Linked DNA regions of Diceros bicornis minor. The protein of the gene in region 2 purifies or fractionates together with the protein of the main gene of each other region. This does not show direct contact. Links are inferred from orthologs where the notes say so. Each region holds a gene or a part of one and is shown on either strand. Other genes may lie near its edges. The genes, in order: RNF7 and ASB2.

What was found.
Region 1: the proteins of ASB2 (region 2) and RNF7 purify together in Homo sapiens (affinity purification with western blotting; 3 studies listed by BioGRID and IntAct, with this or other methods). This does not show direct contact. The link is inferred for Diceros bicornis minor from reciprocal best matches to the Homo sapiens genes ASB2 and RNF7.

The regions. Positions count from the first base shown.
Region 1 is NC_080741.1:11,971,937-11,980,730, forward strand, and holds the start of RNF7 (RING-box protein 2), read right to left. Parts: upstream 3,295-8,794; 5' UTR 3,260-3,294; coding exon 3,085-3,259; intron 1-3,084. UniProt on the Homo sapiens protein: Catalytic component of multiple cullin-5-RING E3 ubiquitin-protein ligase complexes (ECS complexes), which mediate the ubiquitination and subsequent proteasomal degradation of target proteins.
Region 2 is NC_080763.1:39,509,507-39,518,135, forward strand, and holds the start of ASB2 (ankyrin repeat and SOCS box protein 2), read right to left. Parts: upstream 3,435-8,629; coding exon 3,229-3,434; intron 1-3,228. UniProt on the Homo sapiens protein: Substrate-recognition component of a SCF-like ECS (Elongin-Cullin-SOCS-box protein) E3 ubiquitin-protein ligase complex which mediates the ubiquitination and subsequent proteasomal degradation of target proteins.

The DNA.
Region 1 (8,794 bases), on a different chromosome or scaffold from region 2:
GGATACCCAAGAAACTAATAATAAAGTTTACCTGGGAGAGGGTGGAATGGGAAGGAGTTTTCATTGTATTTTTGCCTAAATATTTGAATTATGTGACTGTATAATCTATATAAAAATTAAATTAAAAAAAAAAACCCTCCTAAATACTAAGTTCTCTTTTTTCCTTAAGAAAATGTTCCCTTTACAAATAAGTCTGATCCCGAAGCCTTTACCCAACAATGGCTAAGTATTTTAATAAAGTACTTGGGAGTAAACACTAGGAATGAGAACCTAAAGGGTATACTATAAGTTTTCAAAATTCAATCTGTATTACTATTTGCTTGATGAAGGAGGTAACAGAATATTTCAGGGAGCTATGCAATAGATTCATTCACTAGCTGGAAGAGGAATCAAAGTTGGATAAAAGGAAGTTCAAACCAACAGAAAAAAATAGTTTTTAACATAAGTTGGAGAAAAATAATTAGGTAAAAGTAGAGCCACGGTGGAGCTGAAGCCTGCTTCTCCTCTTACCCTGGGTTCTGCTCAGGCATTTGTTTGCTTCTCTCTGCACGCCCTTACCCTAAAAAAACACACCACCCTGGCCTCTTCAGCATGGATGAAAAACAACCACTGCCTCCTGAGGCTTTCTTCAATTCCACAATTACTGAGTATCTATTCTATACAAGGAGTTATGCACTGGGACACCAAAATGGCCAAGTCTGGGTCCCTGGTCTCACCAGCATATGGGGAGGTGGACAGGCAAACAACTAAATAGCCTAAGGATCGTGATCTAACAGTGGAGACATGGCTGGTTCTGTGCAATCACAGAATTCGAGTTTGTGATCCCAACTGCCTCTTTTACAAATTAGGAAAACAAGCCTCCAAAAGGTTACGTCAAATGTCCAAGTTAACATGCAGCCATGTTGGTTACTCTGGCTCTTCAGAACTTGGCAGTGCTAGCAAACCCACTCCCCTCTTCCTCATCAGCACTTGCTCACTGTGCCCTCTGCTCCTTGCAGAACGAAGAGAGGAGAGTGGAAACGGAGGAAGAGAGCGTTAACCACATCAGAATGGGCTGACAGGTAAATCTTGGATCAAGAAGTCATAATAAATCATTTAGGTGTACGAGATGAATTCCAAATATTAAGGAAATGGGATTAAGTGGGCTCTTTCTGTAGAATCTAGAAATCCCTGAATGGTGCTTATGGCTTTGATTTAGATTCATTATCAAAAACTGACTTATATGGAAAAAATACCTAAAGTTTCAGATTAAGGAAAAAGCTTCTTTTGAGGATGTTTCTAATATCCAAAAGAGCACATTTCTAAGGAGTATAGTAACAGTAACACCTTTCAGAATGATGCTAGGGTAAGGGCTGGGGAGTCTGAAAAACAAACTTCCTTCTGCCGTCTGTCACCTGACCACTAAGTGGATTTTAACACCTCATAAACAAAATACAAAGGTCTAGTCCAGAATACTTTCCTGAACCCAAAGTACAGCTGTTGTCCACCTGCAACATTAATCCACAGTAGCAGAACACTTGCTATAATTAGAAAGTTAATGTGAATGTGAGCTATTGACAGCTCATATTTTGACTTACTTTAAATATCCCAGTAAAGTTTATTTGTTGCAAAATTTCAACCATTATTTTAAATTCCGCATTTCTACTTACTATTTTAAAATTTTTCTTTGGAGAGAAAAATAAACATTCTCGCAAGAGACCAAAAGATTAAGTCGCCTGGAAAAGCTAAAAATGCCACCCAAACTGGAAATTATGATTCTAGTTCTTAAGTAAGGGTTGGAGTAAAGGGGCTGTATTGCAGGCCAATAAAGAAGGTGCTTTTAAAACCTAATATGTAAAGTAAGTGGATCATGTTTCAAAGAAATCACGTTCTCTCAAAAGTAGAATAAAAATATTTGAATCCCATTGTTGTAAATTATTTCTGAAACAAGTCCTTATGAATAAAACACAAGAGAGCAAACTAAAGAGAGTGTAAATTGTGGAATCTCTTGATACTGGTAGGTTTAAAATTTCATCCCTCGAGAAGGGAGAGCAATTCTCTTCAAGCTATTTTCTCCAATTCTCTCATTTTTTAGGACAAGACACAAAGTTTAAAAACTACAGAAACCTCAGTTTTCTTCATCTGCCCTCAAGAAAAGGCATTTAGGATGCTCTCACTAGTTTTAAATGCCTTACTTCAAATTATAACTTGCATTTAAACAGCCCGTCTTTTCCAAGGTGATCTGAGATCTTAAAACAGAAACCATATACAACGTAACGAGATGAAGCTGTTCTGAAAGGTTTCCCTTGGTCCAATATTTTTATTCAAAATACCGTAGAAAGAAATAAAACTTATTTGTGAAACAGGGTTCTCCGTCAAGGACCGACGCCGAGCAGGGCAGTATCTTTCTCAGGAAAGATATGATGGGGAGAGGCCGGGAAGAAGTTTCGTGTTTCTAAATAAAGGGCTTCCATTCTTCAATTCCCAGGAAATTTAAACATTCTTGAATCACACTGTACCCCCTTAGCCGAGCGAGTGACATCTGCCGCGTCCTGAATCGTGCGGATTTAAAAGCCAGCAGAACAGCAGGAGCTAATCCAGAAATGCAGCGGCTGGGAAGGCTTTTGCTCCCCGCGCCTCGCAGGAGCGGAACCGAGGTGTGGTTTGCGGGAAGATGACTCGGGGGCATCGCCGGTGTGTGAGCAGAACCATCACCGAGCCCGGCTGACTCAAGGCCTTCACCCCGACCTCTCCGCGGTTTGCTTTCAGAAGGGGCTGCCGGGGCTGGCCACACAAACCGAAGTGGTTCCTCCCAGCTCCCACCAAGCCTCCCAGTTTTATCTTCTTGATCACACCCGTCACTACCTGAAATTATCCTGTTTAACTCCTCTGCCCACTGCCCGTTTCTCTCCACAGAACGCCAGCCCCCGGCGCCGGGCGCCTGTTGAAGCGCAGCCCCCAGGCGGCGGCCGCAGCCTCCCGTCCAGCGTGGTCCCCGGCCCGCTCGCGCCGGGGCAGGAGTCTCTCCGAGGCTTCGTCCGCCCCCCGCCAGGAGCCGGCTCCGCGGAGGCCGCAGCGCGGCCCGGGCCTCGTGTGAGCGCTTACCCATCACCTGGACCCTGCAGATGGCGCACGTATCGCACTCCACGTCCCAGCTCCACATGGCCACCGCGTTCCACTTCTTGAGAGAGAACATTTTGTCGCCTCCCGACTTGGAGCCTGCGCTCCCGGAGTGCGACGACAGGGCGCAGGGCTCCTCGCCGTCTTCCACGTCGGCCATGACGGCGGCGCGGAGCCGGCCGCCGAGACGTTGGGTCGCGGGAGGAGGGCGGCTATGGCGGCTCTGTGGGGCCGCCCGACGGGCCACAGCGCCGCCCGCAGGCCCGCGGGGCCTACGGCAGCGGCTGCCCGCGATTGGCTGGCGCGGCCTAGTGACGTCACCGCACGCCAGCGCCCGGCGCATCCCCGCCCCGCGCGCCGGGGCTGCCCGCAGGGCCTCCTGGCGGCTGCCGGCTGAAGGCCTGAGTCGCCCGCGTGCGGTGTCACTCTGGGGAGAGCGGGCGCACCCTGCGGGGAACGCGTGTCCTGCTTTATGCCTTCGGGAGACTTGCGGCTCTCAGAAATTATCTTGTTAATGTATTCGTTTGCCTCGTCCCTCCCAAATGTAAACTCCATCAGAGCAGCGACCTTGTCTTTATCACTTCCTTATCCTCAGTATCTAAAAAATGCCTTGCCTCACGGGACGCAATTATTTGAGTGAATGTTCTAGAAATCTGGTTGAATGGTTCTCGAACTTTTTGGTCTCAGGACCCCTTAACACTTAAAAATTCTTAGGACCTTAAAGAGTTTTTGTTTATGTAGGATATATATTTAATTTAAAGGAAAATGTAAAATGGGGGAAAAATTTTAAATGTACTCATTCATTTAAAAATAACAGAAATAAACCAATTACAAATTAGCATTAGAGCAGTAACATCACATATCATGTACCTTCTGGAAAACACTATATTCATGAGTGAGAGTGAGAAGAGAGACAGCTCTGAATATTGTTATGCAAATAGTTTTGATTTCATTGGTCCCTTGAAGGAGGGATCTCAGGAACCCTGGGGAGCACACTCTGAGAACCTCTGGTCTAGTTTAACCTCCTCCTTTTATGTGTAGGAGTAATGGGGTCCAGAAAAGTGAGTAACTTAAAGAGCACATTGCTATTAGGTGAAGGTTACAGTTTTGAGGCCAGGGTTCTTCTATTCCTAGCCCGGGGTAATATTACCTATTATATTTTCCCAAGCAAAGCAGACAGCATCTCCATTTAAAAGATAAGAAAACTGACGCACAGAGAGCCTAAGGAGATGCCTGATTACCACCACCACCTAGTGGTGGACACCTGCTGTGTCAGGTTTGGAATTCAGAGCCTCCCACCTCTTCTTGCTGGGCCTCATCATCCCCTCATCTCTTGATGCCAGGCCTTGTGCCTGGAGGTGCTAACCAGGCTCAAGGAGCCTGGCAGAGGAGACAAGGATGCATAAATGTGTTGTTGTTATTAGTGCTGTGGAGTCAATTCTGACTCCTAGTGACACTGTGTACAGCAGAGGGGAACCCTGCCTGGTCTTTTGCGCCATCCTCTCACCTTCCAGCGCTATATCAGACAATGCTCTGCTGCTATTCACAGGGTTTTCATGGCCAGTTTTTTCGTAAGTGGGTGGCAAGGTCCTTCTTCCTAGCATAAATGTGTAAAAATACAAATATGGACACAGGGTCACATTTGACGAGATGATAATGTGTGCTGTTTGTTGAGTGGTGTGTTCAGTGCTGTGAGGGACAGAGACATTGCTGAGAACTGACACAGTGAGCAAAAGCCTCAAGGAAGAGGTGAAGTTTGAACTGCGGGGAGGTGAGAGGCCCTGGAGGCCAGGAAACGAGTGAAGAAAGCAAACCTCTACGAGCTGTCAGCCTGTGCAGAGCAGTGGTAATGGTGGCAGATGTGAATCTGACCACACTAACTTTGTGAGCCAGACAAAAACGCCTATAAACAAACCCAGATGAACCATACAAAACACACATTTTATTCATATTAAGTGACCACACATCTGACTAGAGATGGCTCTACATGCTAGATAGCTCATACAAAAAGAAGGCTGGAACCAGATGAGGATAAAATGCACCCAGCTGGTGGGAACTGGGCAGTTTGAAATAGAAAAGGAGGGAAACTCAGATGAAAGGATGAAAGACTAGAGGATGGTTAAGGAGGAGAAATGGTACATGGCTGGGCCGAGTCTGAGCCTCATCACCCTGCCCCTGGATTATTGTGTCCTGACTTCCTTCCTGTCTCTCCCCCGCAGTCTAACTGGCTTTCAATCTAACGTGCCTGTTTAATTTTCCTATATCCCATTTTCCACCTGGCACTCTCCTGCTCAGAACATTCCACAGCCCCACGTTATTGTCAGAAAAAAATCTAAATGACCCAGTTGGTCATTTAAATCCTGCCACAATATGGCCCCAACCCTACTTTTCTAGCGTCTTCCCCAAGCACCGCTATCCAAGACCCTCATCAAATTGGTCTGCTCAGTCATCCAAACACACCCTGCGGTCTTTTTTTTTTTTCCCCTCACATTTTAACATTTCTGAAATTGCCCTCTGCATTTAGGAAAACTTACACACCTTTGTGTCCTCACCGACCACTCTTTGCCACCATTTATTCATATCCTTCCATGAAATAATAGCACTTACTGTGTCTCTTTTACTCTTTGGCACCAGGTCACATAGCAACCAAAAAATGCTGTTACTGCTGTTTATTGAACAATTTTAAGTTTTTAAAATTGAGAGCTCATAAATGATAAAAACATTAAAATAGTAAAATGGGTATACAATGAAAAAAAGCAAGTACTGTTAATAGACTCTCCAGAAATTCCTATATATGTGCAAGCAGACACTTAATACATCAGCTCATTTTTAAAATTTTTAATTGTGGTAAAATACACATAACATAAAGTCTACCATCCTGACCATTTTTAAGTGTACAGTTCAATGGTATTAAGTACATTCACACTGTTATGCAATCAATCTCCAGAACTTTTTCATCTTCCAAAACTGAAACTCCATACCCATTAAACAACTCTCCATTTCCCTCTCCTCCCCCTGGCATCCACCATTCTACTTTCTGTTTCTCAGTTTGACTACTTTAAATATCCCATATAAGCGGAATCATACAGTATTTGTCTTTTTGTGACTGGTTTATTTCACTTAGCATAATGTCCTCAAGGTTCATCCATGTAGCATATGTCAGAATTTCCTTCCTTTTTAAAGCTGAATAATATTCCATTGTGTGTATATACCATATTTTCCTTATCCATTCATTTAGGTTGCTTCCACCTTTGACTATTGTGAATAACGCTGCTATGAACATGGGTGTACAAATATCTCTTCATGATCCTGCTTTCAATTCTTTTGTGTATATACTCAGAAGTGAAATTGCAGGCCGGCCCCGTGGCTTAGCGGTTAAGCATGCGCTCCACTACTGGCGGCCCGGGTTCGGATCCCGGGCGCGCACCAACGCACCGCTTCTCCGGCCATGCTGAGGCAGCGTCCCACATACAGCAACTAGAAGGACGTGCAACTATGACATACAACTATCTACTGGGGCTTTGGGGCAAAAAAAGGAGGAAGGTTGGCAATAGATGTTAGCTCAGAGCCGGTCTTCCTCAGCAAAAAGAGGAGGATTAGCATGGATGTTAGCTCAGGGCTGATCTTCCTCACAAAAAAAAAAAAGAAGAAGTGAAATTTCTGGCTCATATTACATCAATTCACTTTTAATATGAATTTTTCACATGTACTATTCTCTAGCCTGCTCTTTTTGTTTAATAGTATTACTTTACCTTTCCATATAAGTATTTACATATCTACATTATTCCTCTTGATGGCTGCATAGTATTCCACTACATATATTTTCTGTGATTTATTTCCCTGAGTATCCTCTGAGAGACATTTAGTTGTTTCCAGTGTATAATAAACAGTGCTGCTGTGAACATCCTTATGTATATTTCTTTGCACAGGTGTGAGAGTATATCTGTAAAATAAATTTCTAGAAGTAGAATATCTGGGTCAAAAGCTATGTATTTTTCATTTTGATAGACATTGCGAAAAGACCCCTAAAGAGGCATATAGATTTTACACTCTCATCCAGTAGATGTCAGTGGCAAATTTCAATTTTTTTGGGGGAGTGGAGGGAGGAAGATTGGCCCTGAGTTAACACCTGTGCCCATTTTTTATGTGGGATGCTGCCACAGCATGGCTTGATGAGCGGTGTGTAGGTCCACGCCTGGGTTCCAAACCTGCGAACCCCAGGCCACCAAGCAGGGTGTGTGAACTTAACCAATATGCCATGGGGCTGGCCCCTCAATTTTTTTTTTTAAATCAGGAATAATTTCTCAGGAGGCCTCACACAATGGATATTTAAGTTCTGGAGATTTGTTAAATTGATCTCACTACTCTATAACCTTCCTTACCCTGGTTAATGACATATTATTTCAACTCTTATGCTCCATTGTTGTTTACTTTTAATGTATGAGGATCTTGTCTTCCTTGCTAGATGCTAAGATCCTCAAGAGGAGACATAATTTATTCCACAGTTGGTTTGGTTCCACGAACTTGCCAGCACTTGTTACACCTGTACATAGAATGAATGTTTGTTTTTTTTTAACTTCAAAATGCAGAGGTCTTAAGTCTCCCTTTTTTTATTCTTTTCTATTTTTCTTATGTAGCTGTCCTAAGTGAAATAACTGGAATCACTCAATTCTAACATCAACAATAATAACAGCAGTAGTAAGAGCCACTAACATTCATTTGAGAGCATGTACTAAGAAACAAGTATTGTCCTAAGATGCTTGCCACGTGTCCTCTCATTTAATGTTCACCAAATGAGATAGATGCTTTTTTTTTTTTTTTTTTTTTTTTTGGTGAGGAAGATCAGCCCTGAGCTAACATCTGCCAATCCTCCTCTTTTTGCTGAGGAAGACTGGCCCTGGGCTAATATCCATGCCCATCTCCCTCCACTTTATATGGGACGCCGCCACAGCATGGCTTGACAAGCGGTGAGTCGGTGTGCGCCCGGGATCCAAACCAGCGACCCCCGGGCGGCCGCAGCAGAGTGGGCACACTTAACCACTTGCGCCACCAGGCCGGCCCTCCATAGATGGTATTCTTGTCTGTATCTTACATAAAGGGAAACTGAAGCACAATGAGGTTAATTGACTTGCCCAAAGTTACACACTTGGAAAGCAGCTGGTTTCCACAGAGAATTCTGGTTCATCTAACTCCCCAGTCCACGCTTTTCATTTTCATCCCTGCACCATATTGTCATGGCACATAAAATTCCACTAATCCAATTTATCATCCACACATAGATCAACCTCACTTCTTCCCTTTCTGTCTAACATCTTCATTGGTGGGGGTGGGTAGAGTGATCAGAAGTTTCCTTATTTGGGGAAGATCCCCATTTTGGGGGATATTGTCTTTTAGAAAGTGGTTATTATTTCCAAACATTCCTATTGTTTCCAACTATGGATATATTTATGAAAGAAGAGTCTCTCTTTCTTAGATAAAGATTCTGACTTTCTTCAAATTATAAATTTCACATGTACAAGAGAAGAAGCCCCAAAGAATCCCACCTATTTTTTCTAAGGCCTACTTGTGAAACTCACATTTTAGAAGTTGACAAGCATGATAGGATTAACACTGCTCTGACCTTTCATAAGATAGTTTTATCAAATTTTAGAACTTGAAAGGGGCTTGGTTACAGTGAAAAATATTATTACAGAGC
Region 2 (8,629 bases):
CTGGGTGTTGCCATGGGTCAGGCACTGTGTGCTAGACACGAGGCTTCACAGGAGGGAAGATGGTGAGGCCCCTGCCCTCAAGGAGGTCACAGGTTAATGGCAGAAACAAATACATAGAAATTGTAAGTCGTAGTCAGGGTGGTGAAGCAAACAGCCCAGAGAGGGATAAGAGGGGCGACCTACTTGACCTGGGAGGGTGGTCAGGCAGGGTTTGCTGCAGAGGTGACAGTTCATCTGAGACCTGAAGGATGAGAAGGAGCCAACCATGTGGGACCTCTGGGGACATGTGTGACATCCTGTTCCTACACCTGCTCTGAGTCTATTTGGATGGAAACTGTGACATTCAGGGATAGAAGCAAACAAGGACTCTGTCGGGTCCTGCACGTACTGTGATGCCCTGTCTGGTGTCAGGCACAAGCCTGTGTGTCTCATGTCTCTGGGGACCCTGAGTCTCTGTGGGTGGGAGGCGGGTGTAGTGAGACCGACCCCACTTCAAGGTGGAGGAGGGAGAGGAAACAGAAGAGGCTTTTGCAGAATCGGCAGAGCTGGTGACACGTCTGAACTTCAGATCAGGCCAGACTGTGGTTCAGTTCCTGGTCCTACTGTGCGCATGTTTTGTCATATGTAAAGCGGGCACAGAAATATCCAGCTTGTGTGGCTTTCGTAAGGATCACTGAATGGCTGTGTGCCAGGCACGTGGGAAGCACTCAGTGTGCATTCAGGGCAGGAGGAGGAGAATTACGTTAAAAGTCAGAGTAATGGGGGCCCGCCCGGTGGTGCACCGGTTAAGTGTGTGCACTCTGCTTTGGAGGCCCGGGGTTCGCAGGTTTGGATCCCAGGTGCGCACCAACGCACCACCTGTCAAGCCATGCTGTGGCGGCGTCTCACATAAAGTAGAGGAAGATGGGCACAGGTGTTAGCCCAGGGCCAATCTTCCTCAGCAAAAAGAGGAGGACTGGCATCAGATGTTAGCTCAGGGCTAGTCCTCCTCACACAAGCACACACAAAAATCAGAGTAAAGGGATTTACTTCCCCAGCAGGGCCCAAGCCCAGCCTCCTTCCAGAGACAAAGGGGCAGAACCAAACCTAGGAGGTTTGAGGTCACATCAAGGGTGAGATGAAGGCCGAATCCTTCTCCCCTACATTACTTGTGCCTGGATCTTAGGTGAGGGCCACTTGACCTTGGCTAAGTCATTTCACTTCTCTGTGAGAGGTTTTTTTCCTCCCCAAAGCCCCTAGTACATAGTTGTATATCCTAGTTGTACGTCCTTCTAGTTCTTCTATGTGGGACACCGCCTCAGCCTGGCTCGATGAGCGGTGAGTAGGCCCACACCCAGGATCTGAACCCGCAAGCCCCAGGCCACCAAAGCGGAAAGTGTGAACTTAACCGCTGCGCCACCGGGCCAGCCCCTCTGTGAGAGCTTTTTTTTTAGGAGACTGGGTGAACGTTTATGTCCCACAGTGGGTCTCTGCTTCCCTACCCTCTAGAGGAAGGAGGGGGTCAGGACCCAACCTCAAGAGCCCCTTCAGTTCTAAGGATGTTAAGTGTCCCTGGGACACCTGGGTGGGGCCCCCATGCTGGGGAGAAGGCTGCAGACGCCCCGGGACGTGCCGGCTTGTGCTGCAGGCCCAGTAGGTGGGAGGGTGCTCTCTCTCTATCTGATGCCCTACTGAGAAAGGGGAACCTGTGGTCTGACTCTGGCTGAACTGGCCAGAACAGGAACCAAGGCCTCCGAGAGCACCCCCATGAGGAGTCCTCGGCTCTGGGCTCCTGTTTTTCTGGTTGGGTCGCAGAATGGGGCGTCCTCTGGGGCAGCTCAGTAACCTGGAGCCTCACACTCCCTCCAGCTGCCCGAGGAGGCTGCCTGCCTTCCCCTTTAGAAGGAGCTCCTCAGGGCTGGGCCTCCCAGGCCTTTGCCCAGCCTGCCCGGCAGAGGTGGTCCAGCCTCAGTAAGGGCCAAAGTCACCTGGGAAGCGCCCTGGTAGGTTTCATCAGGGCTGAGACGGACTGTCACCCACCTTCATCCCTGTCAACTGGGACTGGACATTGGAAAAAGTCTATTTATTGTTGCTGCTGTTGTTACTATTATTATTATTAGAGAAGGAAGCTGAGATTCAGAGAGGTTAAGTGACTTGCCCAAGGTCACACAGGGAGTCAGCTGGCTGCTGGAGACAATGAGATTTGAGGCCCATGCCCCAAGGTAACACCAACACAACTGTCACAGCAATTCCCAAGCCCCTTCCACCAACCCCAAAATACACACTTGACTTGGACTCACTGGTGAGCAGAAACATTTTTAAAATGTGTATATTTCTTTTCTAAAAGCATTTTAAGATCCAAGACCTAATTACCTCTCTGGCTCCACCTCCTACAGAGAAGGTGTCCTCTAGGTCTGTGCTGTCCAGTACGGCAGCCACTGGCCACATATGGCTAGTGAGCCCTTGAGATGTGGCTAGTCTGAATGGAGAGGCGCTGTGAGTGCAAAATACACAGTGGATTCCAAAGCCTTGACATGTAAAAAAGAATGTGAAAATCTCCTTCACAATTTTTATATCGGTGATGTGTGGAAATGATAATATTTTAGACACAAATTAATTTCCCCTCTTCCTCTTTACTTTGTAATGTGGCTACTAGGATGTTCACAGCTGCATAAGTGTCGCCGCAGTTGTGGCTCACGCCGTATTTCTATTGGCGCGACGTGGTGCTGCTCTAGATGGTCCTGCATCTGGGATGGTCATGCTGAGATGGGGGAGCCAGAACAAGGAGGCAGGATGGCTCTGCTGGGTAGCTGTCGTTTGCTTCTCAGATGTGTTGTCCCAGAGAGGCTGCATAGACGGGGTTGGAAGCTCTGGTCAGACTCAGAACATTGGTTTTACTGTATTCAAACATTGAGTCAGCTGTGCAGGCCAAGCCACGGGCTTTGGACCCAGATAGTTCCAATCTCTGCAACACCATCTACTAGCTGTGTGACCTTGAACTAGTTACTCAGCCCTGAGCTTCAGTTTCCTCATCTGTAAAATGGGAATATAGCATAGAGCCTCCTAGAAGGTCCTTAACAGGATTAGCACACAGCACTTGGCACCATCAGAGCTCAGTACGTTCAGATAACAAATGTAAGTCATTAAGGTGTTAAAGTGCAGCCTAGAGATCACGATAATTTGGCCTTGGATTAACAGTGTTTGGGATCTGCACCTGATGGATGACCCAGCTGGTTTCTCCTCGCTCACCTGGTCCATGGGTAGAAATGGGCAGGTTGGCGATTGGCACGTGTGGACACAGTGGCTTCAGCAGTGGCAGGGCCCCGAGTCTTGTCATCCAGGCTCTGCTCGATGGCCATCTGGACCAGCTCATCCTCACTCAGGCTGCTGTACAGGCTGTACTCCTCGTGCCCAATGGTACGCTGTCCGCCCCGAGCACGGATCTCAGTGGCCATCCTCCTCCACTTCTCAGCCCAGCCTCCAGGAGAGACACTCAGAGGGGAGGAGGAAACTGCAAATCAGAAAACCCTGTGAGGAGACCAAAACCATCCTGGTCACTAACAGTTTTGCAACATAGCTATGTTTACCCACGGGGAAGGCTGTGCTCTCTTCTGGCAATCACGCAATCATTTTTTATCCATTTATTTTGTCATATGATCAAGTCAACCACCCATTCATCTACATATCCATCCACCCATCCACTCATCTATTCACCAGTCCACCCACCTATCTAACCATCCATCCAACCAGCCACCCATCTGTCCATTTATTCATCCTCCCATGCATCCGTCTGTCTATCCAGCCACTCATATATCCATCCACCCTCCCATCTGTCCACTTATCCATCCATTTATCCAACTATCTAATCATCCATCCATTCAACCATCCACGCTCCTAGCCAGCCACTCACGTATCTATCATCTAACCATCCACCCATTCCTCCATTATCCATCCTCTGATCTATCTGCCCATCTATGCTTCCATTTATCCACCCATCCTCCCATCCATCCATCTATACATTTATCTATCCAACAAACCATCCACAATTCATTTTTCCAATCCACACGGCCTATCTATACGTGTATGCATGCATCATTAAATGAGAGATTATTTATTGAGCACCTATTTTGTGTCAGGCACTCTTCCAAGCGCTATGATACAACAATGATCCCAACAGACAAAAATCTCTGCCCTCCTGGAGCTTACACAATGGTGCTTACATTCCTCCCTTCTAATTATCCGACAACATCCCATCTGTCCCGGCACTTCTCCATTTCTCTGCACTGTCCTAGGGCTGAGAATACTAGAGATGAATCGGACACAGGCCCGCTACTTAAGATTGCATGACCTAGTTAAAATCAATTATTAAAATAATTTGCCATGTTAATTCCAGGGACTCTCTTCTGGAAAAAAAAAAAAAATGCCTCAAGGAGAAACGGACTTTGGTTGAATCAACTGCTCTTAGGAAATCAACTAAGCCTGATTTTCTTTTCCTCAACTAAGCTGACACATGATGTGACTATAGGTCAATGGTTCTTAGCCCTGGCTGAACATTACAATCATATGAGGTCTTTTTAAAAATATCCAAAATGTGGGTCTGGCCCAGTGGTGTAGTGGTCAAGTTTGCATGCTCCACTTTGGTGGCCCAGGGTTTGCAGGTTCGGATCCTGGGTGCGGACCTATGCACCACTCATCAAGCCATGCTGTGGCGGCGTCCCATATACAGTAGAGGAAGATGGGCACGGATGTTAGCCCAGGGTCAGTCTTCCTCAGCAAAAAGAGGAGGATTGGCAACAGATGTTAGCTTAGGGCTAATCTTCCTCACCAAAAAATATATATATATATCCAAAATGTCAGTGCTATAATTTGGTTTGTTCGGCAAATATTCACCCCTTCCCCCTGGAGGCAGAGTGCCCCGCCCCCTTACTCACTGAGATTAGACTTGGCCTTGTGACTTGCTCCGGCCGGTAACTGTTGGTGGACATGACAAAGCAGCCACTTGACATGGGCTTGTGCAGTGGGGCTGGCTTTCCCGTCATCGCCAGAGCAGAGCTCCTCCTGCAGCCACTGCCCTTTAGCTGCACCCCGGAGTAAACCCCCCTGGGGCAGTTCACAGAGTCCAGCTTGCACAGAGGAGCCCCACCCGGCAGGGCCTGCAGCCCGAAGCTGAGCAGAGCAGCCTGGGCTGGCCTCGATTAGCCTGTCTGCAGTCTTGCAGACCCAAAGCACAAGAGTAGATGGTTATTTGGGGTGCTTTTTATGTAGCATTCCTGTGGCTCTAGTTAACTGATACCCCAAAGATTCGGCCAAGTACTTCACAAAGAGGACATCCAAATGGCCAATAACCAAATGGAAGGGCGCTTAACTTCGTAAGTGTCCGGGGGAAATTCAAATTAAGACCCCCACGCAATACCACTATACACCCACCAGAACGGCTCAAGTGAAAAAGACGGGAACTAGAAAGAGCTGGGGAGGATGCGAGCGATCAGACTGCTCAGCACCGTTGGTAGGAGTGTGAAACGGTAAAACCGCTTTGGAAAATGAATGGCATTCGCTAAAGCTAACATGCACATGCCCTGTGACCCAAGCGCCCACCCTTAGCTCTACGCCCAAAAGAATTGTGTACATATGCTCACCAAAGGGTAAGTTCAAGAATCATAACGGCGCCATTCATGGTAAACCCAAACGGACACTCCTCAATGTCTCTCGTGGATGACTACGTTGTGGTGTATTCACGGGATGATTAGCATGCTCTAGTGAAAGTGACAAACAGCCACTACACACAACAGGATGCATGTCACCAACCACAGTGAGCAGGTCAGATAATGAGGAACATGTATACTCAATTCCATTTATACAAAGTTCAAGAACAGGCAAAACTAAACTGTGCTGATAGAAGTCAGAACAGTGGTTCCCTTTGAGGGGAGACAGGAGGGAGATTCCAGGGAGCCGGTCATGCTGTGCTTCTCTTTTTGGTGAGGAAGCTTGGCCCTGAGCTAACATCCGTTGCCAATCTTCCTCTTTTTGCTCAGCAAGATTGGTCCTGAGCTAACATCTGTGCCCACCTTCCTCTATTTTGTATATGGGATGCCTCCACAGCGTGGCTTGATAAGCAGTGCGTCGGTCTGTGCCCAGGATCCGAACCGGCAAACCCTGGGCCAGCAAAGCGGAGCATGCGATCTTAACCGCCACACCACTGGGCTGGTCCCCATGCTGTGTTTCTTGAACTAAGTCGTTACACGGCTGGTTGGTTCCCTTTGTGAGACTCCCAGGAGCTGCTCAAGTTTGGCTTGTAGACTTCTCTGTGAGCACCTATACTGCAAACATAGCTACTTAAAAAGTGTATAAAATCAGCTCTAAACAGTATCAGTGTTTGGGCCCCACCTCTGACCAATTAAGTCAGGATCTCTGGGAGTGGGGCCGGTATCATACTTCTCTGAAGAGCCCCCCAGGTGGTCGGGAACCACCACTTTGGAGAATGACCAGCCATAAAGTACAAATAGAGGCGGGACAGCCATGGGGGGAGGGGATGAGGGGTGGCACCTGACACCGAGCTCTTGGTAGATATTCTTTTTTCCAATTCCTGTTACCACCCTAAGAGTAACAACTGTTGCTCTATGAAGCCCTAGCAAATAGCAAAGGAGAGTTGTTACCATTAAACAAATGTGTATGTTTTCCTTTAGCAAATACCATCAATTTACCAAATACCACAGTGGTTTTGCCCTTCGAAATCTAGTCTTCGCCCTCCCTTCACCCTCTTCCTTTACACACCTGACTTCCAGGTAAGGCGGGGACACACGTTTCCCCCAACCCGCCTGCGGTTCCCACTCCAGTGCCCTTGCTTGGGCTGTGCCTGACACATCTCCCTCCCTCCTGCACTCTTAGAACTCCTTCTCATCCCTCAAGGCCCAGAGCAAGTGCTTCCTCTTCCGGGAAGCCTACCCAGATTCTTCTAAGAAGTGTTTCGATGCTAGAACTTCTCCCTCTGGGCTGTGGTCAGTAGTCCATGTGTGGACATGACCCAAGATCCTCTTCACCAAGGCCAGTGTCTTATGCAAAGAGAATGCCCAGTTAAAGTCAACTGCACTGGTGGCCAAATGTCTCCATATGGTAGGGTGTGGCAGACCCTCTTGATGGCCCACCCAACAGCCATTTCCCCCATCTTCTCTGCCAGCAGAACCTGGCTTTGTTCAGGCAACAGTGTGCTCTCTCCCATGGTCAGTTGGGACAATCTTATCCCTTGGCCAGTGACTAGTTTAGGAGTGGACATATAGCGTAGTTTTGTCCGAAGAGACATAAAGGAAATTCTGCTGGGGTCTCCTAAGAAGGACTTTCCCTTTCCTAATAAAAGAGAAAGCAGTGAAGAAGTGACTCTGTGCCCACACTCCTGCTTTGTGCTTGGAGGACTTGATGCTTGGAGCAGCAGCAGCCATCTTGTAACCATGAGGGGGACAGTGTTGATACAATGAGTTTGACAGAGTGAATGATAGGTCTTCTGGGTCCTTCATTATATTGTTGAGCGGCCGAACCAATGCTGGGTCTGCCCACCAGGGCCTGCTTGTTAAGTAAAGACTGAAGATCCTTATGGTTTGAGTCATTGTTAGTGGGGTTTTCTGTTATATGCAGTCAAAATCATATTAACACATGGTTCTCAGGCCTGGCAGAGAGTCTTGAAAACATGTCCCCCCAAGACCATGAGCTCACAGTCTCCAGGGGTGAGGCCCAGGCACTGCTGTGTTGAAGGCTTCCCCGGCGATGTGAGTGTGTAGCCGGGTTGAGAACCACTGCCCTAGATCAGTACTCTGGCGGCTGCTCTGTGTTCCACTTTAGGGAGGGGAAAGGGGCACTGTGACCTCAAAGTCATTTTGTGCCTGATGTTTGGGGTGTTATCATTATTATTATTTTTGCAGCAGCAGCAGTAGCACCAACCTCAGTTTTGTTTATTATGAAAAGAGCCCAAGGCTGGAAATCAAGAGACTTGGGTTCATGTCCCAACTCAGCCACAGCACCTCTTCTCCTCTCTTGGGCCCTGGGTTTTCCATCTGTTAAATGGCAGGATGGTCTAGAGCCCATCCCCTGGCCCTCCCGTCCTGGCAGGGGGTGCTGTGCAGCCGGTTGGTCCCCACCCAGCTGGCCCAGCCTGGCTTCCTGCCCCGTCCCTGCTTCCCTGTGGCTGAGGTCCCTGCAGGGTCTGGTGGGCCCAGGTCGGCCTTCGGGAGTGTGGGGGAAGGGCTCTGCCCAGTGAGGAGTGACCCCCTCCGCTTCTCCAGGGCCAAGATCTGACTCTACCCCCAACCTGGCACAAGGCAGGGCTCAGTGTATGTGGTGCTACGCTGACCGGAGTGCTGGTGCCCAGTGCCTGGCCCAGCATCGAGCTGCTGCTGTTTGAGGGCATCTGCTCCAGGCCAGCGGGTAAGGGGGAAGAGCACTGGACTGAGAGTCAGAGACCTGGATTATAGTCTCCATGCTGATGCTAGAGTGCTGTGTGACCTCAGCCAAGTCCCTATCCCTCTCTGCGCCTTAGTTTTCCCATTGCAAAAGGAGAGTTTTGGCTAGAAGATTTCCAAGGCTCTTTCAGTTCTAAAGCTTCCACAGCTCAATGAGACGTTTGATTTAGCTCTGTGCTATTGAAACTCAAACTCTCTGTCCC